Linked DNA regions of Rattus norvegicus. The protein of the gene in region 5 interacts with the protein of the main gene of each other region in a biochemical or structural test. Links are inferred from orthologs where the notes say so. Each region holds a gene or a part of one and is shown on either strand. Other genes may lie near its edges.

What was found.
Region 1: the proteins of Ep300 (region 5) and Rel form a complex in vitro, tested with the Homo sapiens proteins (3 studies listed by BioGRID). The link is inferred for Rattus norvegicus from reciprocal best matches to the Homo sapiens genes EP300 and REL.
Region 2: the proteins of Ep300 (region 5) and Maml1 form a complex in vitro, tested with the Homo sapiens proteins (2 studies listed by BioGRID). The link is inferred for Rattus norvegicus from reciprocal best matches to the Homo sapiens genes EP300 and MAML1.
Region 3: of the proteins of Ep300 (region 5) and Foxo1, one has a biochemical effect on the other in vitro, tested with the Homo sapiens proteins (3 studies listed by BioGRID, with this or other methods). The link is inferred for Rattus norvegicus from reciprocal best matches to the Homo sapiens genes EP300 and FOXO1.
Region 4: the proteins of Ep300 (region 5) and Ets2 form a complex in vitro, tested with the Homo sapiens proteins (2 studies listed by BioGRID, with this or other methods). The link is inferred for Rattus norvegicus from reciprocal best matches to the Homo sapiens genes EP300 and ETS2.
Region 6: the proteins of Ep300 (region 5) and Smad3 form a complex in vitro, tested with the Homo sapiens proteins (5 studies listed by BioGRID). The link is inferred for Rattus norvegicus from reciprocal best matches to the Homo sapiens genes EP300 and SMAD3.
Region 7: the proteins of Ep300 (region 5) and Irf3 form a complex in vitro, tested with the Homo sapiens proteins (3 studies listed by BioGRID, with this or other methods). The link is inferred for Rattus norvegicus from reciprocal best matches to the Homo sapiens genes EP300 and IRF3.

Annotation. Positions count from the first base shown.
Region 1 is NC_086032.1:101,919,139-101,923,317, reverse strand, and holds the start of Rel (proto-oncogene c-Rel), read left to right. Parts: upstream 1-1,379; 5' UTR 1,380-1,647; coding exon 1,648-1,657; intron 1,658-4,179. UniProt on the Homo sapiens protein: Proto-oncogene that may play a role in differentiation and lymphopoiesis.
Region 2 is NC_086028.1:35,121,301-35,125,227, reverse strand, and holds the start of Maml1 (mastermind-like protein 1), read left to right. Parts: upstream 1-1,127; 5' UTR 1,128-1,383; coding exon 1,384-1,719; intron 1,720-3,927. UniProt on the Homo sapiens protein: Acts as a transcriptional coactivator for NOTCH proteins. Has been shown to amplify NOTCH-induced transcription of HES1. Enhances phosphorylation and proteolytic turnover of the NOTCH intracellular domain in the nucleus through interaction with CDK8.
Region 3 is NC_086020.1:138,461,492-138,465,773, forward strand, and holds the start of Foxo1 (forkhead box protein O1), read left to right. Parts: upstream 1-1,482; 5' UTR 1,483-1,587; coding exon 1,588-2,199; intron 2,200-4,282. UniProt on the Homo sapiens protein: Transcription factor that is the main target of insulin signaling and regulates metabolic homeostasis in response to oxidative stress.
Region 4 is NC_086029.1:48,489,788-48,493,856, forward strand, and holds the start of Ets2 (protein C-ets-2), read left to right. Parts: upstream 1-1,269; 5' UTR 1,270-1,494; intron 1,495-1,523; exon of another isoform or gene 1,524-1,881; coding exon of another isoform or gene 1,882-1,953; intron 1,954-4,069. UniProt on the Homo sapiens protein: Transcription factor activating transcription. Binds specifically the DNA GGAA/T core motif (Ets-binding site or EBS) in gene promoters and stimulates transcription.
Region 5 is NC_086025.1:115,050,357-115,053,856, reverse strand, and holds part of Ep300 (histone acetyltransferase p300), read right to left. Parts: intron 3,358-3,500; coding exon 3,193-3,357; intron 1,600-3,192; coding exon 1,438-1,599; intron 1-1,437. UniProt on the Homo sapiens protein: Functions as a histone acetyltransferase and regulates transcription via chromatin remodeling. Acetylates all four core histones in nucleosomes. Histone acetylation gives an epigenetic tag for transcriptional activation.
Region 6 is NC_086026.1:73,041,825-73,045,324, reverse strand, and holds part of Smad3 (mothers against decapentaplegic homolog 3), read left to right. Parts: intron 1-2,417; coding exon 2,418-2,611; intron 2,612-2,734; coding exon 2,735-2,866; intron 2,867-3,225; exon of another isoform or gene 3,226-3,500. UniProt on the Homo sapiens protein: Receptor-regulated SMAD (R-SMAD) that is an intracellular signal transducer and transcriptional modulator activated by TGF-beta (transforming growth factor) and activin type 1 receptor kinases.
Region 7 is NC_086019.1:104,615,142-104,619,407, reverse strand, and holds the start of Irf3 (interferon regulatory factor 3), read right to left. Parts: upstream 2,801-4,266; 5' UTR 2,699-2,800; intron 2,397-2,698; exon of another isoform or gene 2,359-2,396; coding exon of another isoform or gene 2,258-2,358; intron 2,023-2,257; exon of another isoform or gene 1,970-2,022; coding exon of another isoform or gene 1,936-1,969; coding exon 1,771-1,935; intron 612-1,770; coding exon 440-611; intron 349-439; coding exon 275-348; intron 124-274; coding exon 1-123. Other genes in the region: Bcl2l12 (bcl-2-like protein 12), read left to right, coding at 3,718-3,824, 4,009-4,151.

The DNA.
Region 1 (4,179 bases), on a different chromosome or scaffold from region 5:
TATTTAAATCTTTGAGGCTTGTCTACGGTTGTGTTCAACCTAAAAGACAACTCTATTTATACTCTTTGTGAAGACACTTTGAAATTAGCAGATTTTAATAGTTTCTTTCACTTTGGGGGAGTTCTACAACAGGATTTTTTCTTTTTGGTATGAGAGAATAGTATATATTTTAAATATCCAACGCCCCTCCCCCCACACGCACACTTTGGTGCCCTTTCAAGCGCACGCGTTTGGGCACATGCAGAGTTAAGAGGACAACTTTTGGAAGTTGATTCGGTCCTTCCCTGATCAAACTCAGACTGTCAGGCTTGGTGGCAAGTGGTTTCTCCCTAAGACACCTTGTTGGCCATACAAGTCTATTTCCCGTCCATTACTTATTTTAGTAAGTGACTAGAGAACGCAAGAGGCGGAGCCAGACAAGCCTGAGTTATTTTTGTTGTTGAGACAGTCCACCTGCCTCGGCCTCCCGCGTGCTGGGAGTGCGCTAAACTGGACTGGATAATCTTAAACTTAAATCGTGCGTTTCCTTTCTAGAACTCTAAAGTACCGACAAAGCTCCTCTGCTCCTCCAAACCCCAATCAACTCCAATACTCGTGTATGCAATGAAATGCTAATAGACCAAGAGAACAGGTGCCTATTAGCAAGGGAAGGCGAATAAGATTCCGCCAGACCTGTCAAAGCACTAAAAGTTCGGTCCAGGCCACAGGCTGTGGGTATCTCGGTCAATCTCTGGACGTCGTGTTCATTTATACAGGATGGGGCACCGGCCTCGCAGCGCAGCTGAAAACCTCTGCTAGGTAAAGACGTAATGTAGATATAGAGGGAAAATAAGGCTGCGGGGGTCCCCGTATGCAAATCTGTGCCTTACAGCCGAACGCGGGCGCCCGCGCTTCCGCACTTCCCCTCCAAAGCCACGCCCTCCGGCGCGGGGGCGGAGATTTGCATGTGCGAAATAGGGAATAGGGGGAACCACCGGTCGAAAACCCCGGGCGGGCCTCTGGCGGCCAAGGAGCGAGCCGGCTGCACCGCCCGGCCCGCCTCCGGCCACTCGGCCAGCGTAACGTCACGGACACGCCCCTCGGTTTTAAGGACTCCGGAGGAGGGGGATTTCTCAGAGGCCAGCGGCTTCTCACGCGCGGAGCCGTCGCCGCGCGCCCCCGGGAGCTCCCCGCGCGAGCGCGCAGGCCGCCGTGGCTCTGCCGGGAGCGGAGCGCACTAGCCGGAGCCGGGAAGCGCGCCCGCCGCGAGGCTCCGCCCTCGTCCCGGGTAGGCGGTGGCGCGGGTGACGTAGGCAGCGGGAAATCCCCCCCCGTTCCGCCGGGCGGTCCGCTCCGCCCCCTGCCCCTGCCGCGGCATCCTGGCAGGGCGACTCCAGGACACTAGTGACCGGAGCGCGAAGATTCGGGGGTGGGAAGGTGTGAGCCGCAAACCCAGAGGGGCCGGGAAAGAAGAGGAGGCCCGGGGGTGGTCGGAGGACTGGGGTCGCGGCTGCAGAGGCTGCTCGGCCTCCTCCCTGGCTGGCTGGCTAGTTGGCTGACTGACGGGCTAGCTGGCTGGCTGACTCACTCACTCACTGACTGGCTGGCTGGCTTGCAGCCTCTGGCCCGACGCTGGAAGCTGCGGCGAGCGGCGCGCGAAGCGGAGCCATGGCCTCGAGTGAGTACCGGGGCGAACACCTGCGGGTCAAGGGAAGGAGCTGTCGGGGGCTCGGTTTGGGGTTGGGACGGTCTGCCTTTCAAGTCTTTTCATCTGGCAAATTGTCAGCCGTTTAAAAAGTTACCTGCTCCAGGGTTTGCGTGTGAAATCAAAGCGGCGCAGTGTAATCTGATCTCCTGGTAATAGCCAGAACCTTCGAAATTCCCAGCCGCGTGCTTTTAGGATCACAGGGCGTAATCTCAGTAAAGGCGAGCAGAGAATTCTCGAGTTTAAAGACTGAGTGGGTATGGAGACCCGGTTTTACATTTTTAAACTAAAAAGAGGAACCTCCGGACCTCAGACGAGCTTTCTTTTTTAAGTCCAATCTTGCTAGTTACTGATGGCTCTTGGTACAGAATGTGGTGTGGCTGTAAAAGTCCTCAGTGGCGTTTTAATTCGTTCCAAGCGAAAGCATTACCTCCGCTCCCAGGAACTAAAGGAGATGCTTGTCTAGTTTATAGTGTAGAGACCTCGATCCACTCAACCCCTAACCCCAAACCTGCGCCCACATTCAGCAAGAGGGCGAGAGGATTTTTTTCACTAGGTACTGGTAGGGATGAAAATGTCATCATTTGATGTCAGTGTTTATATGCCACTAGTAAGTATTGGATCGCCTGCTTTGAGGAGGACACATTTATAAGAAACAGTTTACAGGACAGGGGCGTCTAGTATGACAGCCCTGCAATTTGTAAAGCAGGTGCTTCAAGCAGCTGAGGTGGTGGTGGGGTGCTTTCCATCGTGGGAGCTAAAATGACACCTTCAGTCTGTAGCAGGACTCTGACCCTTATCTTCCCAATGACCCACAGTAGAAGGCAGCCGACGTCTGGCAGAGAAGAGGAAGTAGAAAGCTTAGTGACCGCTTTAAGAGTTGAGCAGAGCAATGCCATAACTCCTGCTGTAGGCCGTAAAGGAAACTGGGGTGTTTCACATGACACTTGATTTCAGTTTGTCTGTGGTTTTCATGAGAAAACAAGTGTAGTTTAAAATATTTCAACTTTCTCTTTACCCATTTAAATGAACCCAGACTTTCAGATACTCTAGTAAATTCGTAAATTTAACTCGTGTTCAGATTAAGAAGCACGGAAAGGCTTTAAATGTTTAATTCATTGGTAATCCGAAAGAGATTTTTGTATGAAATGTATAGAGTGGCAAGCTTTGTTAAAACAGCTCTGCCCTTGTCTACTTAACAGGATTTTATTAATAGAGTGCACGACTGTAATGCTTGAAATTTTTCAACAGAAAAATCATTTATTAAAGGACTGTAAGACAGCTATGATTTTAAAAATTAATACGAATGCAGTTTGCCTAAGGACACATATTATGTGCTGTTATAGAAATGATTCCAAAAGTTAAAAGGGGGAACTTTTAAAAGAAATAGCAAGTTTTAAAGATTTAGAAGTTGGGTTGGACTTGCCCAGCTTCTGTGAAGCCCTGGGTTCAGTTCTCAGTACTGTCAGAAAAAGAAAAAAAAAAGAAAAAAAAAACCAACAAACATAGAAACAAATCTGAAACTTGTAGTGTCATTATCTTCTTGCTTTTTGATCTTTTGTCAAGGGTTGCACTAAATGAGACTATTTTAAATTGTAATTTAGACTATAATTTAAATTGTAGTTCGGTTATTTGAAATTACTAGGTGAAAATATAGTTTAAAGGAGCCTAGAAGCCGTATCAGTTATAAAGACCATATAAGAGAAAACTTATGAAATACATTTAAAGTTCCCATTCCATTTGAAGTCATTTAAAAGCATCAAACTGCTTATTTTATCATTATGTAATTTAGACTCTTGTTTTCGATGTAGTACTGAAACCTTGAGAAGTGTTTCTGTCGATCGCCAGGTATTTACGTCCATTCGTTCATTCCTTCTCCGGATGTCATATGTAAATAGGTGTGTGTAATTTAATAGGTGGTGCCTTATAAAGGCAAAGTGTCATAGATCATACTCTCATGAGCAGAATTCTATAAACGTCCTGAGTAGACAGGGTTTTATATGATGATTCTAATTATTGTTCAGGTAAGTTAGCAAATTAAGACCTCCTAGCTAGCCCTTAAGCTGACTTTCATTGCCTTTTAAACAATACTGTCCTTTGATTCTGGCCTTTTGATGAGATTAATCATAGCAGGCAAAGTGCAGAAAAGTGTTCCCGATCAAAGTCTGCATATTTAGGAAGTCATTATCCACGCAGTTCTATTCTATTTAAGTCACTTTGTGTCCATGTTTAAAACTACTCATTATTTCCTAAAAAGAACAAAATGGAGGGAGGTAGCCCCTTACTTTGTGAGGCGAGTACTACAGGTTGCTAATGATTGCCACCGTCTTCGGTGAGATGCACTTTTAAATGTAGAAAGTTTGTATTTAGTCACACTTTTCCTTGAATATGATTCTGCTGTGTCACATAACAGGAAGGAAGAAATTATCTTTGTAGACCTTACTACTCACTAACTTTTTGTGTGTGAATTGCAGTAACCCTCCCCCCCCCCATAA
Region 2 (3,927 bases), on a different chromosome or scaffold from region 5:
AGTTTAATGGCTGGGTGTACTTAGTAGTAGTGGCACTATATGCATGAGGCCCTGGATTCAGCCTTCCAGCACTGCACACAAAAGTTGTTTACACTTAGCTTGAGTGCTAATTGTAATGTTTGGGTACCGGTAAGAAGCAGTGCTCATTTATCTTTGCAACTCCCTTCACCAAAGGGAGTTTTTATTTTGTTTTTATTTTTACTGCATTTGTATAAAAACATTTTGCTGTTAGCTTTTTTTCTTGTGATTTTAAAAATAAAATTTTCGTGAACTCCAGTAAGAGGTAACATGTTTGACTGGCTAATGAGGTCTTAAGTGCAAAGCCTCCCAATCATCTATGGCAGTTTGCTCCTCAGTAACCATCTAGAATATGTTTTGGTCCTTTCCTGGCTTTTTACCTTCACTCAATTGCTTGCTAGTGACATCTCTGGAACCCAGTGCTTTGGATTGAATTTTGAGTGATTTAGTTTTATAAATCAGTCGGTTTTAAGTGTATGTTCCTGTGGATCTAAATAACTCTAGTTCCCAATAGGAGGCTAAAGACCATTTAGTGCTCTCCACCCCACCCCCCACTTTAAGTAATGAGATATTGCTCACAGTACCTGTCAGTGATTCCTATCTCTACTAGGTCACTGAAGCTCAAAACAATTCTGATCAATTAGTGATTCCTATCTCTACTAGGTCACTGAAGCTCAAAACAATTCTGATCAATTACAGGGCTGTATGTAAGGAATGAGGTCAGAAATGGCTGGCTTCGAAATATTCTGGATAGACTAAAAAGATAGCATTGAGCATCTGAGTCTTAAGGCTCACTTACTTACCCCGCGTTCCTCACGAACCCGGAAGGGACTGCCTTCAAGGGGGCGGTGTTCTGAAAACGTGGCTCCTCTTGGATAGGTTCCTGTCAGTCACAGTACACTCTGCTACGCTGAGCCCGCCTCGGGGCTTCCCTCCTAGCCTGAGTGTTCAGTTTAAATACCCGAAGATTCCTGACGTGCTTTTCCCCCCACGCCCTCCGGCAGCGGGTTTGGTTTGATTGGCTATAGCTCGGGTCCATCAGCAGTGACGCAGAGTTCGCCGGCCCAGGCCCCGCCCTCTTCCGAAAGCCCCGAAAACAATTTTAAGATGGCGGCGGCAGCGGCGCGGAAAACAATGGGGCAGGGGTATAGCGGACAGGCCGAAGCCTGAGGCGGGCGGTGTTCGCTGGCCTGGAATCGGGCCGAGCGGGACCGGAGGAAGACCCGCCACCGCGCCCGAGTCTGCTCCACAGCCCACCCGGACATGGCGCGGCCGTGAGGCGGATCCGGGCCGCCAAAAGCGGAGGAACCCGAAGTGCCAGCCGGCGCCGGGAGGCCCGGGCCGGGCCAGCGCCGCCCGCGGCCCATGGTGCTACCCACCTGCCCCATGGCGGAGTTCGCGCTGCCGCGGCACAGCGCGGTCATGGAGCGCCTCCGCCGACGCATCGAGCTGTGCCGGCGCCACCACAGCACCTGTGAGGCCCGCTACGAGGCTGTGTCTCCCGAGCGCCTGGAGCTCGAACGCCAGCATACCTTTGCCCTGCACCAGCGCTGCATCCAGGCCAAGGCCAAGCGCGCCGGCAAGCACCGGCAGCCGCCCGCCGCCGCCACGGCCCCGGCAGCCGCTCCGGCCCCCGCCCCGGCCCCAGCGGCTGCGCGCCTGGACTCAGCGGACGGCCCGGAGCACGGCCGCCCGGTCGCGGTGAGTAAGGCTGGCGCCTGCCACAGCAGTACTCACTCCCGAAAACGCCTCTTCCGGCTCGGATCGGGCCTCGGGGAAACTTCCCCGAGCGCCCCCATTTCTTAGTCTGGGTCCTGGGAGGAGGCTAACATGGCAGGGCGCTTGTCATCTTCGAGAAGTGGCACTGCGGTGTACTTTTTGGGAAAACGTCCCCGTGAGGACTTTGAGCGAAGTCGGGGCTGGAAAAGCAGGAGAAGGTTAGTTGCTGATAGGCTTTTCTCCCAAACGATTTCCAACTGATGAGAACTTCGACTCGTGTTGGAGTTGCCTAGGATATAGGGCGTTCTTGCACCTTAGGCCTGGCCTCAATTAATCTGCCGATGTTGATTGGATCTTTGCTTCGTGGAGGTTAGTTAAGGCTTTAATGTGGAAATAAGTCTCCCTTCAGTTGACAGTATCCTGCGGCTTCTGAATAGAAAATCGAAAAGCCTTTGGAAGCTTCAGTAAACTGAAGTGCATAAAAGGCATTCTTCCCCCACCCCCTAAAGGGAATTTGCGAACGCGAGATTCCTGCTATACTATTGACAGTTCCAAATTTAACCTACTAAGCTTGTTAAAAACTTCTGATAATATTAATAGTTGTTAACGGAGGAAATGACGTTACTTGTTGGTCAGCTGTGCCCTTTGGGTTTTAGTTGCTAATCCTGAGATTTATTGGTTAGAAGTTTTGACTCCCTGAAACTGATTTATAAACCGGAAACCTGTTTGGAGGGGGAGGGGCAATGGGTGTTACAAAATTCTTGGTAAAGTTTAAAAGTCAAATTTTACAACACTTAAGTTGTTCGGTAATTCTAATTCATGTCTTCATAGTCTCTCACTTGGTCCGTTGTAAAACTCTTTCCTAACTAATGGTTAGTCTTTCAGTCACTTAATACGCTTCCTCTGAAATGTTAGAAACCCTTCTGTGGCTGGAGGGAATTGAGTTAAATCTTTGGTTGGCTTTCGGGACCAGCTTGACCTAGCCTATCTTTCCATGTGCCAAAGAGCTATTGTTTCCCTTCTTCCCCACACTATACCCACTGCAGGGCGAGAAGTCAGAAGAACACTTGGGTTCTGACCCAGCTGCTCGAGTCTTTTCATCCTCACTTTCCCCGCCTGTACATCCAGGGTATGTTGGGCTTCTTACTAGTTTTCTTGAAGGAATCAAATGAGTTTGAGGTTAGGTGTGGTGATTCACGCCCAGAGGCAGGAGGAAAGAAGACATGAGTATGGATGTGAGCGAATTTCTCAAACTAAAAGGCTGCCTGCAGAGTTTTTGTCAGCATTTTCAGGATCCTGCCATCCTTCCTGCCACAGCCCATCTTCTTTTGCAGTTTCTGAAAAACCAGCCCACAGTAGAATCTCCTCTCTCAATACAGTTATGAGATATATGTGTATATATATATATACATAGCTATATATCTATCTGTATGCTTTTTTGTTGTTGTTTGGTTTGCTTTTTTTTTTTTTTTTTAAGACAGTTTCTCTGTGTGCCCTAGCTGTTCTGGAACTCACTCTGTAGACCAGGCTAACCTCAAACTCAGAGATCCACCTGCCTCTGCCTCTGGAGTATTGGGATTAAAGAGGTACACCACCACTGCCCAACTTACGCCCTTTGTTTTTAGCACATAGTCACATATTACTTCAACCATCCTGTGTCTTGACAAGTAGACTGTAAGCTTTGGACCCTGAGAAGGCTTGGGCTAAGTTCCATTCATATTTTTTTTTCCTTTTTTCTTTTTTTTTTTTCGGAGCTGGGGACCAAACCCAGGGCCTTGCGCTTGCTAGGCAAGCGCTCTACCACTGAGCTAAATCCCCAACCCTCCATTCATATTTTAGGCCATCCATATACTTGTTGATAACCAACTTGGGTGTGCTTTACCCAAAATGACTTAACTGAATGAGTCACCTTACTAACCAATCTTTCTTGAAAGATCTCCACCTTCGCCCCAATCCCTTTGGGGGATTGAGCATAAGACATTGTACTTATTGTTTGTCTTAGTTGGGGTGTCTATTGCTATGAGGAGAGACCATGACCACAGCAGTTTGATTGGGGCTGCCTTACAATTCAGAGGTGGGAACCATGGTGGCAATGCAGACAGACATGGTGCTGGAGAGGAGGCTGAAAGTTCTACATCTAGATGTATAGGCAGCAGGAAGAGAGAGTGACACTGGGCCTGGCTTGAGCAT
Region 3 (4,282 bases), on a different chromosome or scaffold from region 5:
GATATGCATCTTCAATTCTAAGGTGTCCCTAGTCATTAAAAGAAAATGCCACCCATACTTCTTTTTAAAAGAGAAAGCAAATCAGAAAAATCAAGCGAGGAAATATTTTCTTCAACTCTATAAAGGCAAAAAGGATCATTGTCTTTCTACCTCTGGCTCTGCTGAACCTATATTAGATACCCGGGTTTGGGAACTTAAAGAACTGGAGAGACGAGCTGTGCCCCAACAATTGTGGCTTATCTCCTTTTGCGACTTCAACACCTCATCGCTTCCATTCTCAATAAAAAAGAAGTAAGCAACCAGTTAAATTTAATTAGGGGCAATAAAGTGACAAGATTGTCTCTAAACACTCTCCTCTGACCCTTTAGCCACCACTCTGGTCCTCAGGAAAAAGTGAGATTCTCGTAACAGGAAAGAGGTTCCATAGAAGACTTCAGATCTGAGGCGCTACTGGATCTAGGTGCTTGTGCAACAGTCTTCTCCCCGCGCCGCACCTCTTTTGGGTTCAGGATGACTGGAGGCTGGGGGCTGGGGCTGGGGCTGGAGAACCGCGGAGGCTCGGCTTGCAGGTGTGCACAGGTAGGGTGGGAAGGGGAATCCGGAGCCGCAGAGCGACGGATCTTCACCGTAGGATCTTCGTGCCTGGGGCGGCCCGGGCAGATGCCAGCTTAAGAAAACATTTCTCCAAAACAAACCCCACCGACTTCCCGAGAGCTCCGCGAAGACGCGTGGGCGGAGCGGGCTGAGTGGAATCCACGAGGCGCCCCACCGCCCACGTCGCGTCCGGGAGCGCGCAGCGGCTCCGCGCCATCCCGGGAGTCGGGGTCTGGGCACTGCCTGGAGTACTCGATTGCACTCCGTAGTAAACAAAAGTATGGTCGCCGCCTCCACGCCGGTTTGCCTCCTAGCAATCCGAACACTGAGGCGCCAGAGACTCAGAAACACTTGAGAATTACAGAAAATAATAACGGAGATTAGAAAAAAAAAGTGTGTGAGAAAGAAAAACACCCCGCTGCCCCCCACCAACCTACTGCCGCCTCCCGAGGGAAAGGAGCTCCCTCCCAGGCCCGCGTTCATTGGTTGTCTAGGCAGAGACTTGGCGCGTCCATTGGTCGCGCAGCCTGTCAGTCAAGGGCGGGGCGGCGCGCGCGCCGCCGCGGGCGGGGAGCCGCTGCAGATCCCGTAAGACGGGAGGCTGCGGAGTCGCTGCAGTCCCCGCCGCCGCCACATTCAACAGGCAGTAGCGCCGCTGTCGCGCGGCCGCGGGGGAGAGAGAGCGGCCCGCGGCGTCCGCCGGTCTGCCCTTGCGTCCGCGGCCCTGTCATCAGGAGCGTGGTGCCCGAGCTGCCGGGCTCCGCGGCCTGGTCCTTGCCCCGTCCGAGGCACGAACTCGGAGGATCCCCGACACCGGTGACCCAGCGAAGTTAAGTTCTGGGCGCGTCCGTCCGCTGCGCCGCTCCTCGCTCCGGCGTGCGTCCGCCGTCCGCGGCCCCCAATCTCGGAGCGACACTCCGAGCGCCGGCTCCGCGCCCCCGGTGGCCGCGTCTCCTGGTACTCTCTGCTGGTGGGGGAGGGGCGGGGGGCACCATGGCCGAAGCGCCTCAGGTGGTGGAGACCGACCCGGACTTCGAGCCGCTGCCTCGGCAGCGCTCCTGCACCTGGCCGCTGCCCAGGCCGGAGTTTAACCAGTCCAACTCGACCACCTCCAGCCCGGCGCCGTCGGGCAGCACGGCCGCCAACCCCGACGCCACGGCGAGCCTGGCCTCGGCGTCCGCTGTCAGCACCGACTTTATGAGCAACCTGAGCCTGCTAGAAGAGAGCGAGGACTTCGCGCGGGCACCGGGTTGCGTGGCCGTGGCGGCCGCAGCTGCCGCCAGTAGGGGCCTGTGCGGGGACTTCCAGGGCCCGGAGGCGGGCTGCGTGCACTCGGCGCCGCCGCAGCCCCCACCGACCGGGCCGCTGTCGCAGCCCCCACCGGTGCCTCCAGCCGCCGCGGGGCCACTCGCTGGGCAGCCGCGCAAGACCAGTTCGTCGCGCCGCAACGCGTGGGGCAACCTGTCGTACGCCGACCTCATCACCAAGGCCATCGAGAGCTCGGCGGAGAAGAGGCTCACCCTGTCGCAGATCTACGAGTGGATGGTGAAGAGTGTGCCCTACTTCAAGGATAAGGGCGACAGCAACAGCTCGGCGGGCTGGAAGGTGAACGGCCTCGGGGCGGCCCGGGGGGGTGGATTTGTTGGGGCCCGCCGAGGGTCGGCCGTGTGGGTGTTCCGGGCCCGGAAATGATGGGCGCACGGAGAGAGCGGGCGAGAAATGGCAGGTGTGGCGGGGGCTTCCCCGAGACCTGGAGCCAAATTTGGACGAAGTGCAGGCGAGGGAGTTCTAGAGGGACCCCGGGAGGGCTTGTTTGAGAACTTAAGTGAAATGCCAGAGCAGGCTTGGAAGTTGGCTAGTTGTTGGAGTAGAGGGGCTGGCTTCGAAGGGTTCGCCACTTGACACTCCGGACCTGCGAGGGGTCGGGGCGACTCCTCCGCCCACATGCGCACCCACTCTCCCGACCCTTGGCCGACGAGGTTCCCTCGGACCCGACAGCAGAGGTGACGGGAGCACTGGAAACATTCCCCACGCACACGCGGGGCTCCCGCAGCTGATGGGTTAGCTAAACGCGCAGCGTGCTGAGCGCTGTGCGGGCCAGCAGTTGCCGAAGGTTCCCCGAGGCCGGGGCAAATTTGGTTTTTTTATCCAAAGTGGCCTGAATCGAGCGTTCCCACTTGCTGGGTACGGTTTCTGACGCGCGCGCAAGTGGGTGGCTAAGGTTTTTAGGCTCTGGGCAACCTAAAGTTCAAGTGTGACCCTTGGCCGGGGCGGGAGCAGGCGAGGAGGGGAGGGACCGGGTGTACAGGAAGCCAGAACCTTTAAAGGGCCAGTGCCTCCAGGCTGGGAGGCCACACTTTTGCGCTCAGAGAAGGGCTTCCACAATTGGGCTGGCTTGGGGAGGTATGCTTTTAATTGAAAGCCGAGTCGCTGTTGTGTGTGACCAAATTGTGCATGAGTGTTGTGGAGTGATTTCTCTTCCCATAAAGCTTGGGGCTACCCACGACCTGGTAAGGCTGGGAGCTGTGAGTGAGTATTTGGTGGAAGTCTTAAGTGGGGTGCTCACTGGGGAATTGCCAAAGACACCTGCCTTGAAGGAGGATTGCAGACCTATAAATTAGGTGTTTAAGATTGTTGTTTGTTTACCTTTCCAAAGGTGGCAGGGAGAGACTGAGGCGACTCAGTGTGGACTGTGGCATCTCTACCTTAGGGGTTTGGGGGTGGTATAAGGGCCTAGGGCATTTTGGGAGGAGAGAATCTTACCTAGAAGTCCCTCTCGAGGTGTGGCCACCCCTGGCTGACAGTTTCTCAGTCACAGGTGGGACATAGCTTTTCTCCCACCTGGTCTCTGCTGTATAGCAGAACAGAGATTAGCCTTCACTGCATGCTTGTTAGAGCGAGGTGGTTTCACATACTCTGTCATCCCTGTGGTTAAAGTATCTTAAAGGTCAACTTACTCACCTCATAGAAAGTTCTTGCAGAAAGAGCCAGGGGTTGTTTTATTTTTGCCACAGTGTTTTAAAGATATATACAACACCTTATCCTTGTGTAATATTACCAAGTGTTCCAAAAAGCAAATTACCTATTTTTCATATTCTAAGAATTCACAAAATAGTGGTTGTCTTTAAAATCTAATTTTACTTAACATTTGACTTTAAGTACCTGACTGCTTTACTTGTTTATGGGGCTTCAGCTGTTACATAGAACATTTGCCATTGCAAACAAAACATCCAAACAAAAAACCCTAAACCCTCTGGGCACCCAAAGTACAGTGTGTACTTAACACCATTCTTTTATGTTCTTGGAAAGGGACACAACCTACCTGAGTTTGTGGGAGTGCCTTGCTTTAAGGATAAAGGTAATGTTTTGGGGTATTTTCGGACGGCACTGTGAAGATGCTCTTGAGAACTATAACTTGATTTTAGAAATTAGTTCTTAGAAAAATAGGTTATATCATATATCTTTTTAGTTGTTTTGCTCCATTCTTCTGATTTCTTAATGTGATAATGATTTATGTATTAAATTTTTTTTCCTCGTTGGCACCAAGAACAAGCGCGGGCTTTTGGGGGGGGGGGAGGTGAAGACAGACCGAGCCTTTGCTGCCTGAGTGGCCAGTAAGCTTTAGAAGGGGCCACTGCACTTTGAGAGGAGTAGATGCTTGACTGTAAGAGCTGGTCGGTCGGGGTAG
Region 4 (4,069 bases), on a different chromosome or scaffold from region 5:
AGACACACTCCTTCAGATAAGTCCGTACCTTCTGCTGGTTTTTTTTTCTTTCCTTCTTTAAGTTAGCATATGCCGCTCCATGTCTCCATGGAAACGGAACAGGGAATCTGTCTTCTATTTAGGGAGTTCCTCCTTGACCTGGGTTCTCTGGTCCAGACCTGAATTCACACGGAGAAGCCCTGAGGAAATATCAATCCCCTGTGAACCTAGCTGTTTTAGCTTAGTGGATTGGGCCTTGACTCCTGCAAAGGTGATACACTAGAGAGAAGTATCAAATGCAACAGTATCTTGATTGGCAACAACTTCAGAAGGGGAGTTGCCATGGAAACCAGGAACCCTGAGTACAAGGGAAGGTGGGACCTTCTACTCCCTTCCCAGCAAGTCTGTCCTTGTACCAATCGTCGGTCCCGCGGCCTTGACTAAGCCTGCCATTTGCAATTTCCTACAAATCTCGGGTATCGATCTAAACTCAAGGAGGAACGCAATAATATTGAACGTACACCTATGCCTCCGGACCAATCACATAGGTTTCCAATCATGGACTCGGCGCCTTCTCACCAAAAAGGAAACCACCCTCTGGCTGGTGTTTTGACCATGAGTTTGGGAGAGTCACGTTGGACTTGGCATGTTGTTGACCTGGCAGACCATGTTAAGTAAAACACCAGTGCTTTGAAGCATTAGTAAGACTAATAATAGATGGCGCCGGAGTGCTCAGCTAGGTTGGCGCTAAGACTCGGCTCAGCCCTAGGGGGCGCTATCCACACCTAGGTAGTAGGAGGGGCCTCCCAAGACTCAAGCGGCTGCGCCACGTTCTGCTCTTCCACTCGCGACTCCGCCACCCGCCCACTTTGTGCCTCCCTAACCCCACGTAAGAGTCTTTTCACGTCGGAGGGACCAGAAATCAGGACCCACACGTAGCTCCAAACACAGGACCGGTTCTACCGCAGAAGCCTAACCACTCAATCCAAGTGCCACCAGGGCCCCCAGCTTGGACCTGCAGACGGCCGTGCGCCAGGGAGACGCGGGCGGACACGGCCCTGCCCTTCTAGCTGAACCTCCTGGGCACAAGGCCCAAGCTGGGCCTTAGGAGCAGGGGCCAGCAGGCAGGCGACAGCCGGCTGCAGGGGCGCAGGGAAGGGCCCGGGAGCAGCGTGGATCCGCCGCTGCGGGAGCACACTCTCCTCCCACGCCGGCCTCGCGCTTGCTCCTCCTCCGCGCTCCCTCCGTCACCCCTGCTGTCCCCTCCCCCGGTCCCCTCCGGCCCTCCCCCAGCTCCAGAAGAGCGCGCGGCCAGGGGATCGGGCTGGTTACTTCCTCCACCGCGGTGCTGAGCACGGAGTGGACACCACTAAGGCCCGCCAGTCCCTGCCACCGTCTCCGACCCCGCGCGCCCGTATCGGCCCTACGCCTTCGTCTCGCTGGGCCTTGCCGGCCGGGACCGCCGCGATCTCCTCTCCCCGCCGCCCTCCGGCTGGCCCTGCTTGCTGCGGCGCGGTAAGAGCGGCCCCCGTGCGCGACGTTCCTCGGGAGGGACTCCGCCCGGGGTGGGGTGCAGTGCGGGCGGCCCCTGCTCCCGCCGGTTGATCGCGCGCCCCGGAGCCTCTCCAGCTGGTTCCTAGGCACCCAGTGGCCTCAGCCGGGGATCCGGGAACCGGGCCGGGAGCGGGCAGCCCGCTTTTGTTTTAGGGAAGCCAGTGGTCGCTCTGTGCGGTTCCTGCCTGGGGCGCGGGTCTGTGTTTCTCCAGGGGGCTTGAGACACCTGGAGAGATGGCCGAAGTAGCCCCAGGTTTGGGGTGACTTGAGTGGGAGAGGAGCTAGGCCTGGGAGGATGTGGGGGTGTCCGACGCCTGAAACACCTGGGAAGTTGCGGCTCCCGGGAACATGTCACCTGCTCGGCCAGCTCTCGGTTCCCCTGGACCCTGGGAAGCCAGTACGGGACACGTCCAAGTAGGGGTGCGCGTGGCTGTTCTGCTTTTATTTTCCCCGTAGAACATATGAATGAAGGGGTAACCCGAAGCGTTTGCATATTTGACCTTTTTTTTTGGTTTTAATTTATTATTTAATCTCATAAGACTTGTACTAGCCTGCACTCAATTTCAGGGGAGCCTAAAATAGTAGTTGACTCGCTACTAATTTAGAAAGTAAAGCAGTGTGCAGTCCTGGTTGGAGACAGGAGTCATTTACTGTTGAGAGAGAGACTTACTCCCTGCTGTGAAAGCTCCTGCGCCCTTATCAGTCTGCCCACAACGCCAATCGGGAGATACATCTCCGTGTTAAGCTTTTATTAAAATCTGAGTAATCTTGCAGTACAGTTAATGTGAACACCGCGCATCCCACAGGGAAATAGTCAAACTCTCATATATGGAATTAGTCATTCATCTCTCTAAACTGATCGCTAAGCGAAAAGCAAACCAACCTTCAAAAGGTTTTTTTTTCTTTTATTTTTTTTAACCTAAATTTTACCTAAATACAAACCTATGCTCTTTTATGTAAGTGATTACCTGTTCCAATAAGGATACAGTTATCCGGGAAATTCTTGTTTCAAAACTTAACTATTCTCAGCCATTACATTTCTGCCATTTTCTTCCATTTCTTGTACACCCCCCCCCCAACCAAAGTACCAAAAAGCTCTAAACTTGAAAATTGATTTATCTAGAGTCTTGACTTGTCCCAGGGGTTAGCAAGCACATCCAGTAGGATAAATGGACTTAAATTTGATTAGCCGCGTGTCTGCCTGAAGCCATTTAGTAGAGGGCTTTAATTCTACATGGTTTTTTACAAAACTCATTAAAAGCCAGGCAACAAAGGAACCCTGTTCTGTAGCCAGTAATTACAGCTCTTTATGTGGGAGTTTGAGCCTCCCTTTTCTGCTCCTGTTTGTACACAAAAGGCAGGGGAGCTCTATTCTAGATCTCCAAAGCTATTCTCTGCCTATCTCAGAAGCGAAGAATCACGGTGAAGTCCCCAAGTGTCTGCACATTGGGACCACAGAAAGCGCTATCCGACTGGCCCTGGAGGGAACATGTGGACACCTCTGTCTGTGTCGCTGGTTTTCTGAGGGTGGCTTGTGTTTAATCAACAGGTTACAGGGCTGACTTCATCTAAGTAGGCGACCTGAAGTTCTCAGTTGGCGGGCATTTCCTAGGGCTGAAGTGTGACAGAAAGGCCTGGTTTAATCATAATTGCACACTCTGCTTCAGTGGGCTGTGGTAGGCAAAGCCCACTCAGCCATGGCTAGGATTTAAGGCCCTACTGATCTGAGGTGAACCTCCATAGACACCCCCACAGGAATGTGACCCGGGCCAGTGACTCAGTATCATCGGGCCTCAGTTGTCTCGGAATAAGGTGATTTTCCTTTTGGAACCCGCGCTCAGGAGGATTGAGGACGTGGGACTTGGTCTTCCCATCAGGCATTCTGTCTAGCCTTCATCTGTGAGGAATATTGAACATTCAGTGAGTGTAGCTAAATAATATACCAAGGGAGAGCCTGAACAAATATGCCTTCTCTGGAGACTGCACAGGCCCTGCTGTGACCTTACCGGGAAGGTGGCTCCTTCAATTCGTCTCAGCTTTTCTGGACTATTCTAACCCAAATCTGCAATCAGAAGCCTCCCCCAGGATTCCTTTCTGCTCTCGATGCCTTCTATCAAGGTGTGAGTGTGCACATGTGTGCACTCACTCGCACATGCTGCACATGTCGGTATAGGCATGTGACTAGTATGTGTTAGTAGGGAATTGTTAAGCCATCTGCCATTGGCCATAATGTTGACTATAAAAAGACACAAGAAAGGGGAATCAAAGGAAGTTTAAGTAATTCTTTGAGGCTATGCTATCTGCTGCCTCTAGTGAGTTCTATCAATTGCATGCTAATTTTAGTGACAGTGTGTGGTTAGCAGGTGGGTGCGCATGAAGGAGAGCGGAGGGTGGGGGCGGGTGGGGGTGGGGCTGAGGTTTGCACACTCCACACCATGGAGCTATTGAAGGCTCCAGTTCTGTAGCTCAGAGCCTGGAAGACAGGAGCTGCCGTAGAGTGATGGTGTGTGGAAATGAGGTTCGGTGACTGGGTCCG
Region 5 (3,500 bases):
CCCAACCCCCACCATTAGCATTTCAATCAGTACTATACTTTCAAAATTGAGTGAGGCCATTGGGCTATTAGGAATGTTTTCTGACAGTGATACCCACTAGAAATACAGGAGGACTTGACTTCCATGCCAGGGGCATGGCTGACAGGACTGCATTAGGCATCTATCTAGCTTTGACTGTTATCATTTTGTTAGGAGTAGGCAGAGGAAGGAGCACATGGGGAAATGGTTTGAGTATTTGCACTTCCTCACCATTCTGTCTTTTCTAGTGTCAACAATTAAGTGATCAGTCTTCTCACAACTTAACTGCTGCTTAAGAAATTGCTTTATGAAGCTGGGCCCACATGGGGGATGATGCCTTTAATCCTAGTACTTGGGAGGCAGAGGCATCTCTGAGAGTGTACAAAGTGATAACTAGGGCTGCTACACAGAGAAACCACATCTTGAAAAGCAAAATAAACAAACATAAAATAAGAAACTGCTTGTGACTTCATCTTAGAATAGAGTTGAACTGTGATAAGAAAAAAATACATGGCCTGGGGAAGCACCTGAGCTCAGGAGCCTGGTACTAGGTATGATTAGACCAGGCCTCTAAGACTGTCCTCAGCTATACAGTGAATGGAGACCAGCCACGTTATAAAATGATCTCAGAAACAAAAAATTATTCCTTCCATTTCCAAACCTCTTAGAAAAGCATGTTAAGGGGCAGAGAACAGTGGCTCAGTGGGGTTAGGCATTGCTTTTTGTCACAAGTTGCTTTCGCAGAGGACCCAAGTTCCAGTCCCAATGCCTTCGTGGTGGCCATCTTCTACCCCAGCTGCAGAGGACTTGGTGTCCTCTTCTGGCACGGAAGCAGAGCACCCATTCACATAAAACTCAGTAAGTAAGTACAGCCATGTGAGCAGCTCTGTAATCAAGCTTTAATTTAGAAGGGGGTTTAAATATGGGAATATGATTATGAATGTCTGAGTCCGTCTTAAATCTAACATTAAGCACTATTACAAAATAATAGTGGGGCTCTAAGTAACATGAAACATTTGAAGAGTAAATCTGTAAAAATGTTGGCACATGCCTTTACTCTCAGAACTAGAAAGATAGAAGCAGGTAGATCTCTATGAATTCTAGGCCATACGGGAGTTACAAAATAGGACCCTGTCTTAAAAAAGTCAGAATTTTTGAAAATCTATCACTAGGATTAGACAAACCATGCTTACACTTTGAGACACAATGCAAATTTATAACAGCCTCATAGTCACACCATTTTCTCACAAGCAAACTCTATATGCATACTCTTTTCATCCTAGTCAACCCTCCTCCAGTCAAACCATTTCTTCCCTCCAAATTTCCAGCAACCTGGAGTGAGTTCTTACCCTGTCGGCTGGGGTGAGCAGCTTAGGAGCCCACCCTCCACAGCCTTCTACCCTGCAGCGCCTCACTCACCTCTTTATGCTTTTCCATGGTGGCGTACAGTTTCTGAGAAAGGTCATTAGACACGTTGGGCACGCCAGGCTTCTTCTTGTTGCCCCTGCTCAGGCTGCTCTTGTTTTTGCTGGTCTTCTTGTTATTCTTCTTCTTAGCATTTTTGCTATCGCCTTTTGTTACCTGTAGGGCAGCACAAAGGAGAAATGAAGATTGTTAAGACAGATCTGAAAATGACTCTGGGCTGATAATTTTTGTTGTTGTTGTTATTTCTGTAGCTGCTTATCACCCACTATTTCCTTTTAACGTTTCTCTCCTTTTTTTAAACGTACAAGCAAATGCTTAACTATTCTTTGTGTGTGTGTGTGTGTGTGTGTGTGTGTGTGTGTGTGTGTGTGTGTACAATTGATGAATGTATGCCATCTGTGCATAGGTCTTTTTGAGGCTCTCTGATTCCAAACTGGAGTTAGCTATGACCTTTTTCCTGTGGGTATAGGGAACACAGTTGAACTGGGTTCTCCTTGAATAACAGCAATAACTTTGGAGTACACAAAGTTGCCTTTCTAAATTGCTTCCCAAAGACCCCAAGTTTCATTATGTAGAATAAAGCTTGTAAACTTTTTCAGAAAAAGCCTCAATTTGCTTGGAAGTGGTGGCTCATGAATTTAATCCCAGCACTCAAGGGGCAGAGATTTCTGAGTTTGAGGCAAGCCTGGTCTATAGAATGATTTCCAGGATAGCCAGGACTACACAGAGAAACTGTCCCTAGAAAAGAAACAAGAAGAAAAGAACAAAAAACTACAAGAAAAAACAGACAGAAAAGCCCCAGTTTGCAGAAGCCATTGGCTCACGTGTCCAGATTAGAGATAAGACTTGAGTGAGGGGCACCATAGTTGGCAACCAAGAAAGAGGGACATCAGCAAGCTGCCACATAGGACCTACTCAGTCATGAAGTTAACCAAAAGTTAAAGCATTCTGGTAAATAGGGGGAGGGGGGGATGAGATTAGGGATGGGTGCTGCCACACTTGCTTTAAAACCTTTCACTCTTTTTTTTTTGGTGCTGGAGCCCAAACTTATTCATCTAGGACCCTTGTATGTATGCACATCATGGCACAGGCCTGTAGACGTCAAAGGACAGCTTATGGAAACTGGTTCTCTGCTTCAACCATGTGGGTTCAGGGAGTAAATTCTTTGTTTGGTGGTCAAGTGCCTGAGTCTTTTTATTCACTATACAGAAGTCTGGCCTTGGAACTCACACACATCTGCCTACTTCTGCTTCCTGAGTGCCGAAATAAAAAGGTGTGTGTAACCCGCTTAACCAGACTTTATTAAGTTGAAATCTAGAAAACAGTCTAAGTGTGCTCCAGTCAATAACTGATCAGGCTACTATGAAGGAGTCTCATTAACTGATCTAGGCTTGTGCCTGCCTGTGATTGCCAGCACTTCTGGGAAATACACTAGAGAGCATATGAAGTCAGCAAAGCCTGTAAGCAGCCATAATTTGGTCTATTAGATCCATTTTTTGGTATGGTTCTCCAGGAACTTTTATTACTCAATGTCAGGATACTACTTACAAACAGAGAAACCCTTAGTTCTGAGAATTTGCCTGCTATGCAGCCAAGGTTGACCTTGCATTATGAGGCCCTAAGGGCTGTGATTGAAACACATTATAGCTAGCAGAATTTAAATTGCCCTTTTACACCAAATCAAAGTGTAAACTCCTTTCTCTATTATCAATGAGATGTCAAGACAGACACTGCAGACAAAGTTCTTACATCGGTACTCTCGTTGCTGGTGTTTTCTTCCCGTTTCCTCTCTTCCTCTTCCTGTTCAAGTTCCTTGATGCTTTCTTCCAGAACATTGGGCCAGAAGTCACCTTCAAAGTAAGGTAATTCCTTTGCACTTGTTAATCGATCTTCAGTAGCTTGCTTTAAAATATCCTGTTTAAAAAAAAAAAAAAAGCCTATGTAAATATTAGGAATTTCTATGCTTTCTTTCTAAAAATTTTATTTACTTTTTGAAACAAGGTTTTCTGTGTAGCTCTGGCTATCGTGGAACTTACTATGTAGACAAGACTGGCCGG
Region 6 (3,500 bases), on a different chromosome or scaffold from region 5:
ACTGAGGTCTTCTGTAAGAATGGCAAGTGCTTTTAACTGCTGAGACATCTCTCCTGTCCCTCTGTGTAGTTTTAACCCACACTTTTCTTACTAGTAACGACATAGAACATCTTGGCCATCTTTAAGTGTTTTAAATAGCATTTGATCAAGAGATTCACAGTTGCTTTTGGCATTCTTTAGCCTAGAAAGCACCTCTGTGAGATGTGTTCTAGTGTTTTCTTGTCTGGCTTGCCCCCTCTCTTTTTGTTCAAGCTTTCTACCGATCAGAAGTCTCTATCCTGAGTTCCAGTATATCGATACATCAACTTTGACTTTTAACGGATAGTGCTTTTGCTGCGGCAGCTGAGAAATCACTGTCTGGTCACAGAGCCCCTCGCCGGTTTGAGTTTTGTTCTTTGACCCTCAGTTTCCACAGAGATGTAAGATGCAGGTTGAAGTTCGTTTTTCTTAGTGTGGATCTCCAGGAGGCTCAGCCTTCCCAGCTGGTGCGTCTTTGGACCTTTGATACAAGTCAATGTTCCATGCACATGTGACTGTTGACTACCTTTGTTGGGTCCCATTGGTGTGCTGGTCAGTTTGGAGGACTTTGGTACATGTTCGCATGCCTGTGACAGCCAGAAGTCAGCCTTGGCTGCTGTTCCTCAGGTGCTGTCCACTTTGTATCCTTTGGGACAGGGTCTCATTGGCCTTGGTCTCACCACAGAGGCTAGGCAGAGATCTGACTGTTTCCACCCCCTCAGTGTGCCACCCAAGCCAGCTCTTTTCACTCAGGTTCTGGAGACTGAACTCCTGCTCTTACACTCACAGCGCAGGTACTTTGCTAACTGGGCCGTCTCCTCAGCACTGACGTCTTCACTCTGAAAGCAAGAGAATGCTCTTCCCACTGCCCAGGCCGGAGGGGCTCTCCAGCTCCACTCTTCCTCACTGCTGGTGTGGCCCTTCTCTGGCCACTTCTCTCTTGTCCCTCTCTTTCCCATCAGAGAGGTGGCCGCAGCAATCAGCTAACCTTGTGTTAGGGCTTCTGTCATATCCTGAAGAGGCAGTGTGGCCATCTCCCTTATCTTCCGGGGATTCGGTAGCTTTGGGAGAACATGAGGGGAGCTGAAGGATTTTCTGTCTCCGCCTACTACTAACCACTCTCTTGGTCCACTTCTTCAACCCTAGCTCAGCACCCAGCCCCCTTGCCAAAGGCTGGCTTAGAGGATGACAGCAGTCACCAGTAACACTGAGAGGACTCCCCAGTCAGTGCTCTGTAAAGTGCTTTCTGGTAGAGATCAGGTGAGGGGAGACTGTCCCTATCTTACAGATGGGGCAGTTGAGGGTCCTAGTACCCAGGGTTGCTTGTCAGGAGCAGAGCCACATCTTCGGGTCTTCTGATTTCACATCTGGCTGCCTTCCTTCTGTGCCTCAAGGAATGGTTTCAGGCTGTCCTCTCTTGTTCGGCTCTGTAATTACTGTTTTCAGCTGTAGGGGCTCCTTGGTCTGGGCCTCATGGGAGGGAGGTAATTACATCCTTCCACACACCCTTAGTCAGCAGCTCTCAGTCCCTGTGACCAAGCCTAGCACTGACCTTTGCCCCTCGCCATTCCAAGCCAGTGGCTTGGAGATTGTTTGGACCCTGGTTGGCTCTGGTTGACACATCTGGCCAGCCCCTCCCTTATAAAGTACTCATAAAATCTGTTGAATTCAGACTCATAGGTGCCCTAGGGACAGAGAGACAGCTTGCAATGGCTCTCTGCTAGCTTGGCCCAGCTACTAGAAACATCATGCCCCTGACCTGGGGCTCCAAGGACACCTTCTTGTGGAAAGGGCAGTCCTGCCTTTCTTACTCCATGCTCGCCACCCCACTACCTCCCAACCCGTGGGCCACACGCTGCCAGACTTATCGTAGGGCCTGTTGTTTTCACATGGGTACCTGTACACAGTCCATATAAACATCTCAGAGGCTAGTTACAGCTTTCAGAGAAAAGTGGAACTCCCCACCAGGTCAGCTCTCTTGGCCATTCGTCCTCCTCTTGTAGTCTTGTACCCAGCTTCCACCCTGTCCAGTGGTCACCTCTATAGGGCCAGACTGGTGACATCTACTTGAGCTTATTTCAAGAATGTCCCCTTTCCTTCAGAGCTGCTACTCTGAGAACTCTGAGGCCTACTAGGTGCAGTGCCTCTCTTCCAGCCTAGGAAGCCTCAGCCTTCCTTGGTGGGCCTCCTTGTTTCTTTTGGGAGCTGGGGCCCTGTCCAGCAAGAACAGTTAACAGTGGTGCTCAGATGTCCTGGTCCCCTGTGTCTGGGGGAGAAATGAACTTGAAAGGGTCTGCCAGCAACCTTGAACTCCTCAGGAGCTGCTGGGGGCTAGACTTAGGAGACAGCAATCCAAATCTACTTAACTGACGCCTTCTGTCCCTTCTTTGCCATGACAGGTCACTGGATGGCCGGCTGCAGGTATCCCATCGGAAGGGGCTCCCCCATGTCATCTACTGCCGCTTGTGGCGGTGGCCCGACCTGCACAGCCACCATGAGTTACGGGCCATGGAGCTCTGTGAGTTCGCCTTCAACATGAAGAAGGATGAAGTGTGTGTAAATCCTTACCACTATCAGAGAGTAGAGACACCAGGTACGTGAGAGGGGCCTTGCCCTCCCCCTGCTACCTACTCTGAAGGTTCTCAGAAGCCCTTGGGGGCTGGGACCTCAGTGTGCCAGCACTGATCCGTTTCTGTTGTGTCTCCCTTGGGGACAGTGCTACCTCCAGTGTTGGTGCCACGCCACACCGAGATCCCGGCCGAGTTCCCCCCTCTGGATGACTACAGCCATTCCATCCCCGAGAACACTAACTTCCCCGCTGGCATTGAACCCCAGAGCAATATTCCAGGTAGGCACGGGTGTCAGCAGAGGCAGGCAGGAGGCAGGGGTGGTTCCATGTTCCCCTCTTCTCCATATTGTGGGCATACAGCAGGCTCTTGGGCCCTGATTCTGCCACATCCCTGCCGGGAATGATCAGTGGCTGGAGCTTCCCTAACGATGTTTTTCTTGGCACAGAGGACCCTGTGACCCTTCTGCAGGGCCTCAGTGCCGTCATTTATTTTGAAAGCGGAAATAGCAACACTGTCTCTCTCCTGGCCCTCCCAGCCCATAAGGCTGGCACACCAGCAGGGTCCCTAAAGGGTAGGGGTGGCAGAGGGTGAGGCGAAGCAGCAGGGGGGCTCTGTACATACCTTGAGCTTTGGGCTGGGCAGAGAGGGAGTTGAGGCAGTAAATAGAATGTGCTCCATTGTCAGAGTGCCAGTGTTTCTAGAAGCCCCTCATTTACATGCAAATAATGTGTGAATCACTGCCAAGCACTCTGGGCATCCAGGGAAGCTGTGCTTGGCCACGCTAGGACCAGTCAGGGCAACTTTTGCTTTCGGGGCAATGATCCAGCTGTGTTCCTTTTAGAGTGTTCTAATTTGGATGTGGCTTTCACTCTGGGTTGGTTTACTGGACTGAGGTTGGCTGTGGCCGTGTCT
Region 7 (4,266 bases), on a different chromosome or scaffold from region 5:
GAAGTTGTTTACAATGGGGCTTAGTGGTGGTTGAGAAGGATCAGAAGCAATAGGCAGGTCTGAGGACCCCTCATCTGGGAGGGGTCCCAAGGCCATGTGATCGAGTAATTCCAAGAGGTCTTCCTGGAGGAGGAAGGAGCTAGTCAACAGCTTCAGCTGAGCCAGAGGGTAGCAGATTGGTGGGAATGGAGGTCCAGGGGTAAGGGCTGGGGTGGGAAGAAGGTGAGGCCTAATGGATGGGGCAAGGCTGGGCACAAGACTAGTGTCTCCTCACCTGGTGATCAGACAGACTGCTTTTGCCATTGGTGTCAGGGGAGGTGTCCAGATGTACAAAGTCCCTTGCTCCTCCTGTCCAGAGTGGAAGTGAGCAGAGTAAGTGGCAGAGATCTTCCAGACCCCACGGTTCCTGTGACCCCCAAGCCAGCCTTGTTACACACACCTGGAGTCACAAACTCATACACTTTATGAGGGTCAAAAGGGTCCTTGCTCCGGTCCTCAGCTAATCGCAACACTTCTTTCCGGTTCAGGGCTGACCGGAAATTCCTCTTCCAGGTTGACAGGTCTGGCTTATCCTTCCCTGGGGTGTAGGCACCACTGGCTTCCGCCCAGGCCTGATACATCAGTGATTCCAGGACAGTAGGGAAGACTACTTAGACACCTCCCACCATATTCCATACATTTCTGGTTCCTGACCTAAGTTCTCACATTCATAGAGCCCCTAGGACTTCTGTCCCGACCTCATCCTTATCTATATTTTCCACACTTTAGAAAAATATTTTTGAATATGAGACAGGGTCTCACACATTATAACAAAGGTAGGCTCCAAGTTTCGACCCTCTAGCTGCCACTTCCAGAGTGCTGGGATTACAAACGTATGCCACACATCCACCTTCAAGCCTTTTGATTTTGGTTTGTTTTTTTTTTTTAGGTTTATTTATTATAGACGAGTACACGTAGCTGTCCTCAGATGTGCCAGAAAAGGGCATCAGATCTCATTACAGATGGTTGTGAGACACCATGTGGTTGCTGGGATCTGAACTCAGGACCTCTGGAAGAGCAGTCAGTGCTCCCAACCGCTGAGCCATCTCTCCAACCCAAGCCTTTTGTTTTTTAAGCCAGTATTCTAGGACCTACTTGGTACCTCACCCCACATTCTGTTACTACCATGCTGATCTGGTAGCTAATAACCCCATCCTGAGGGCTGTTCCAATTCTTAAGATTTAAGGGATCTAAAATCAAGAGCCCACCCCCCCCCCGAGATTTCCCATCCTCTAATAAAAGAGCTGTTCTCAACTATCCGAATACAGATCCTCATGATGTAGTGAGTCCCCAGCCCCAAATTTTTTTCATTGCTACTTCAAAACTGTAATTTTGCTGTTATAAATCTTTTTTTTTTTTTTTTTTTTCCGGAGCTGGGGACCGAACCCAGGGCCTTGCTAGGGCCTTGCTCCTGCTAGGCAAGCGCTCTACCACTGAGCTAAATCCCAACCCCAGCTGTTATAAATCTTAATGTGAATATCTGTTTTCCAATGAAAGGCCCGTTCAACCCCCAAAGGGGTTGCGTCCCACAGATTGAGAACCATTGCTCCAGAACAGTTTTTTAGAGACACAACCTGGCTTTCAGAATTCTATTCCTGGAATCTGCCAATCAATTCCGGGCTGTCCCTCCAAGTCTATCCCACCTAATTAGCAAGACCCAGCCCTGTCTAGTCACGCCCATAAATGCCTCTGAAGTCTCAACGCCCCCCCCCGCCCCCTCCCCCCCAGCACCTGGAAGATGCCAAAGTCAGCCATCTGTGCGTCCTGTCGTAAGCCATGCTTCCATGGGATCCTGAACTTTGTACGGCTCTCGTCCAGCCAGGCCACACCTTTCAGCTGTCCCAGGTCCAGCTGAGACACCAGCCAAGGCAAAATCAGCGGTTTCGGGGTTCCCATGATCCAGCCTGCGCATACAGTGCAGTTCCTGAGCCTGTATGTCAAGGGGCAAATGCACTCAAACCTCTCCGACCCGATACAGCACAGGCCTTCCTTCACCCTGTTTTCCTGTGTACAAACGGGAAACTCCTTCCCACCTTTCCAATTCCAACGGGACCGCCTATCCTACCCCACAGTTTTCCATAGGTTCTTTCCCTTTTCTAAATGTAAACCCCTATTACTCAAAGCAAGTACCCCATTTCCAGGGTGGAGTCCTCTTTCCCTGTCTTTAAAGAATCATGACTGTTCTCACACCCACCTCACCCTTGCAGAAAACCCTTACTCATTTCCAGAGTCTTCTCCCAGCTGCTGTCGCTTCTTCTGCTTTGTCTTTTCTACATTGTTTTTATGGATGTTTTGAGACAGGGTCTTAGTATGGAGCATAGGCTGTCCTCGAACTTGCTATGTAGCCATGATTGGTCTTCAACTCACTGTGTGGCCCAGGCTGGCCTCGAATGCACTCTGTAACCCAAGCTACCCTCAAACTTATTCAGTAGCTCAGGCTGGTCTTCAACTCGCTTAACCCATGCTGGTTTGGAGCTCATTCTGTGGTTCAGCCTGGCCTGGAGCTCACTGGCCTCGAACTTGCAGCAATCTTTACTGCCTCCAGTCTGGATGCTGAGACTGCAGGCTTCCGTCTACAACGCGTAACCATTCTGGTTTTCGGTAGCCGAGCTCCTGTGCCCTGAGGCCGCCACCCTCCCGGTTCTTCCGCGTTACCTACCAGGGGAGGAATTGCGCGCTCGTGGGGCGCGGGTGTCAGCACTGGTTTTGGGGCTCCCAAACAGTAGTTGAGACTCGCAGCCACGCAACCCCCTTCTTTGTCAACTAAGCTTCCGAGCGTTGGGACTTTCCTTTCTAATGGTATTTTGAGATAAAAAAAAAATTTCTCATCATTTACTTTAAGAAAAGTCAGAAAACCTAGGAGCACACTCCGACTGAACCGGCCTAACTCCCTCAATGCCCTTTTTTGGCCTTCCGCCTACAGGCATGCTGGGAACGCCATATGCAAATGATGCAACACAGCGCTCCGCCCCCTCGACGTTGGGGCGGTTACCGTGTCGGCCCAGTGCGCAGGCGCGGGAAAGTTGAACTTCGGAAGTAAAGTTTGTAGAAATTGAGTGAAAGCGTGTGTGCGCCAGTACGACTGAGGCAGAACCCCGATCCAGGTGAGCGGGGTACCAGGGAGGGAGCTAGGTTGCAGGAGAGGTCACAGCCAGTCCTGTCTCTCTGACTTCCAAGCACGGAGGTCTCCTGGTGCCCGCCAGAGGTCATTGGAACTACATCTCCCAGCAGGCTGCTCGGTGAAAAAGAGGGGAAACCCGGCTAGCGTTTGCCGCAAAGCGTACTAGGATTAGTAGTTCCCTATTCTCTAGGGTCTTCGAGACTCCTTCAGCACTCAGGGCTCCCTTCCTGCTCCTGCATGTAAGAGTCCAAGCACTCAGTTACGTCCTTTCTTTCTTTCTTTCTTTTTTTTTTTCTTTTTTTTCGGAGCTGGGGACCGAACCCAGGGCCTTGCGCTTGCTAGGCAAGCGCTCTACCACTGAGCTAAATCCCCAACCCCTACGTCCTTTCTTAGATTCAATAATTCAGGCCCTTTCTCCTCAACGGAATCAACTGCCCCACTGGCCCTTAAGCCACCTTTTCCTTGGAGTAAGGTGTCCTCTTCATTCAGTGATTGAATGAAGTTTGAGTTATCACTCCATTTGGGTACATTCTCTGTCTTCTGCTTCAGGTACCTCCATGGCCGGCTCTGAAGAGTTGGGTCTCCAAGAGGACACACTGAAGGTTCTGACTGCCTTCCTTAGGCGCGGTGAAACTGCTGGGTCCCCTGTCCCAACTCCACCCAGGTGAGATACTATTCCACTCCCCCAGGGCCAGCCTTTGATCAGAAGATCTTCCTGAGTCTAGTGGTCTACTCCCTTCATACCTAACCCCATATGTCTGTCCCAAGCTTCAAGAATCTTCCACGAGAGGACGAAGGGATTGTTTGCTCAGAACCCTCTGGGATAACTCTGAGGTTCTTGCCCCTAGGAGCCCTGCCCAAGAAGAGACAACAGATTTCCTGAGCCGACTCCGAAGATGCCTCCCTTGTCCCCTGGGGCGAGAAGCTCCTCCCCCTGAGTCCTCTAGGCCCTGCTTCCTTCCCCTCCGTCCCTGCTATGGTTCAGAGCCTGGTAAGAGATTTCTTCAGATCACTTGTGAAATTTGGAGGCTAGCAGCCTTGGTCCTGAAGAATCCAGACAGTACCCATTATAAAGTCAACACTGCTCAGCTTCAGTGCCGGCCATA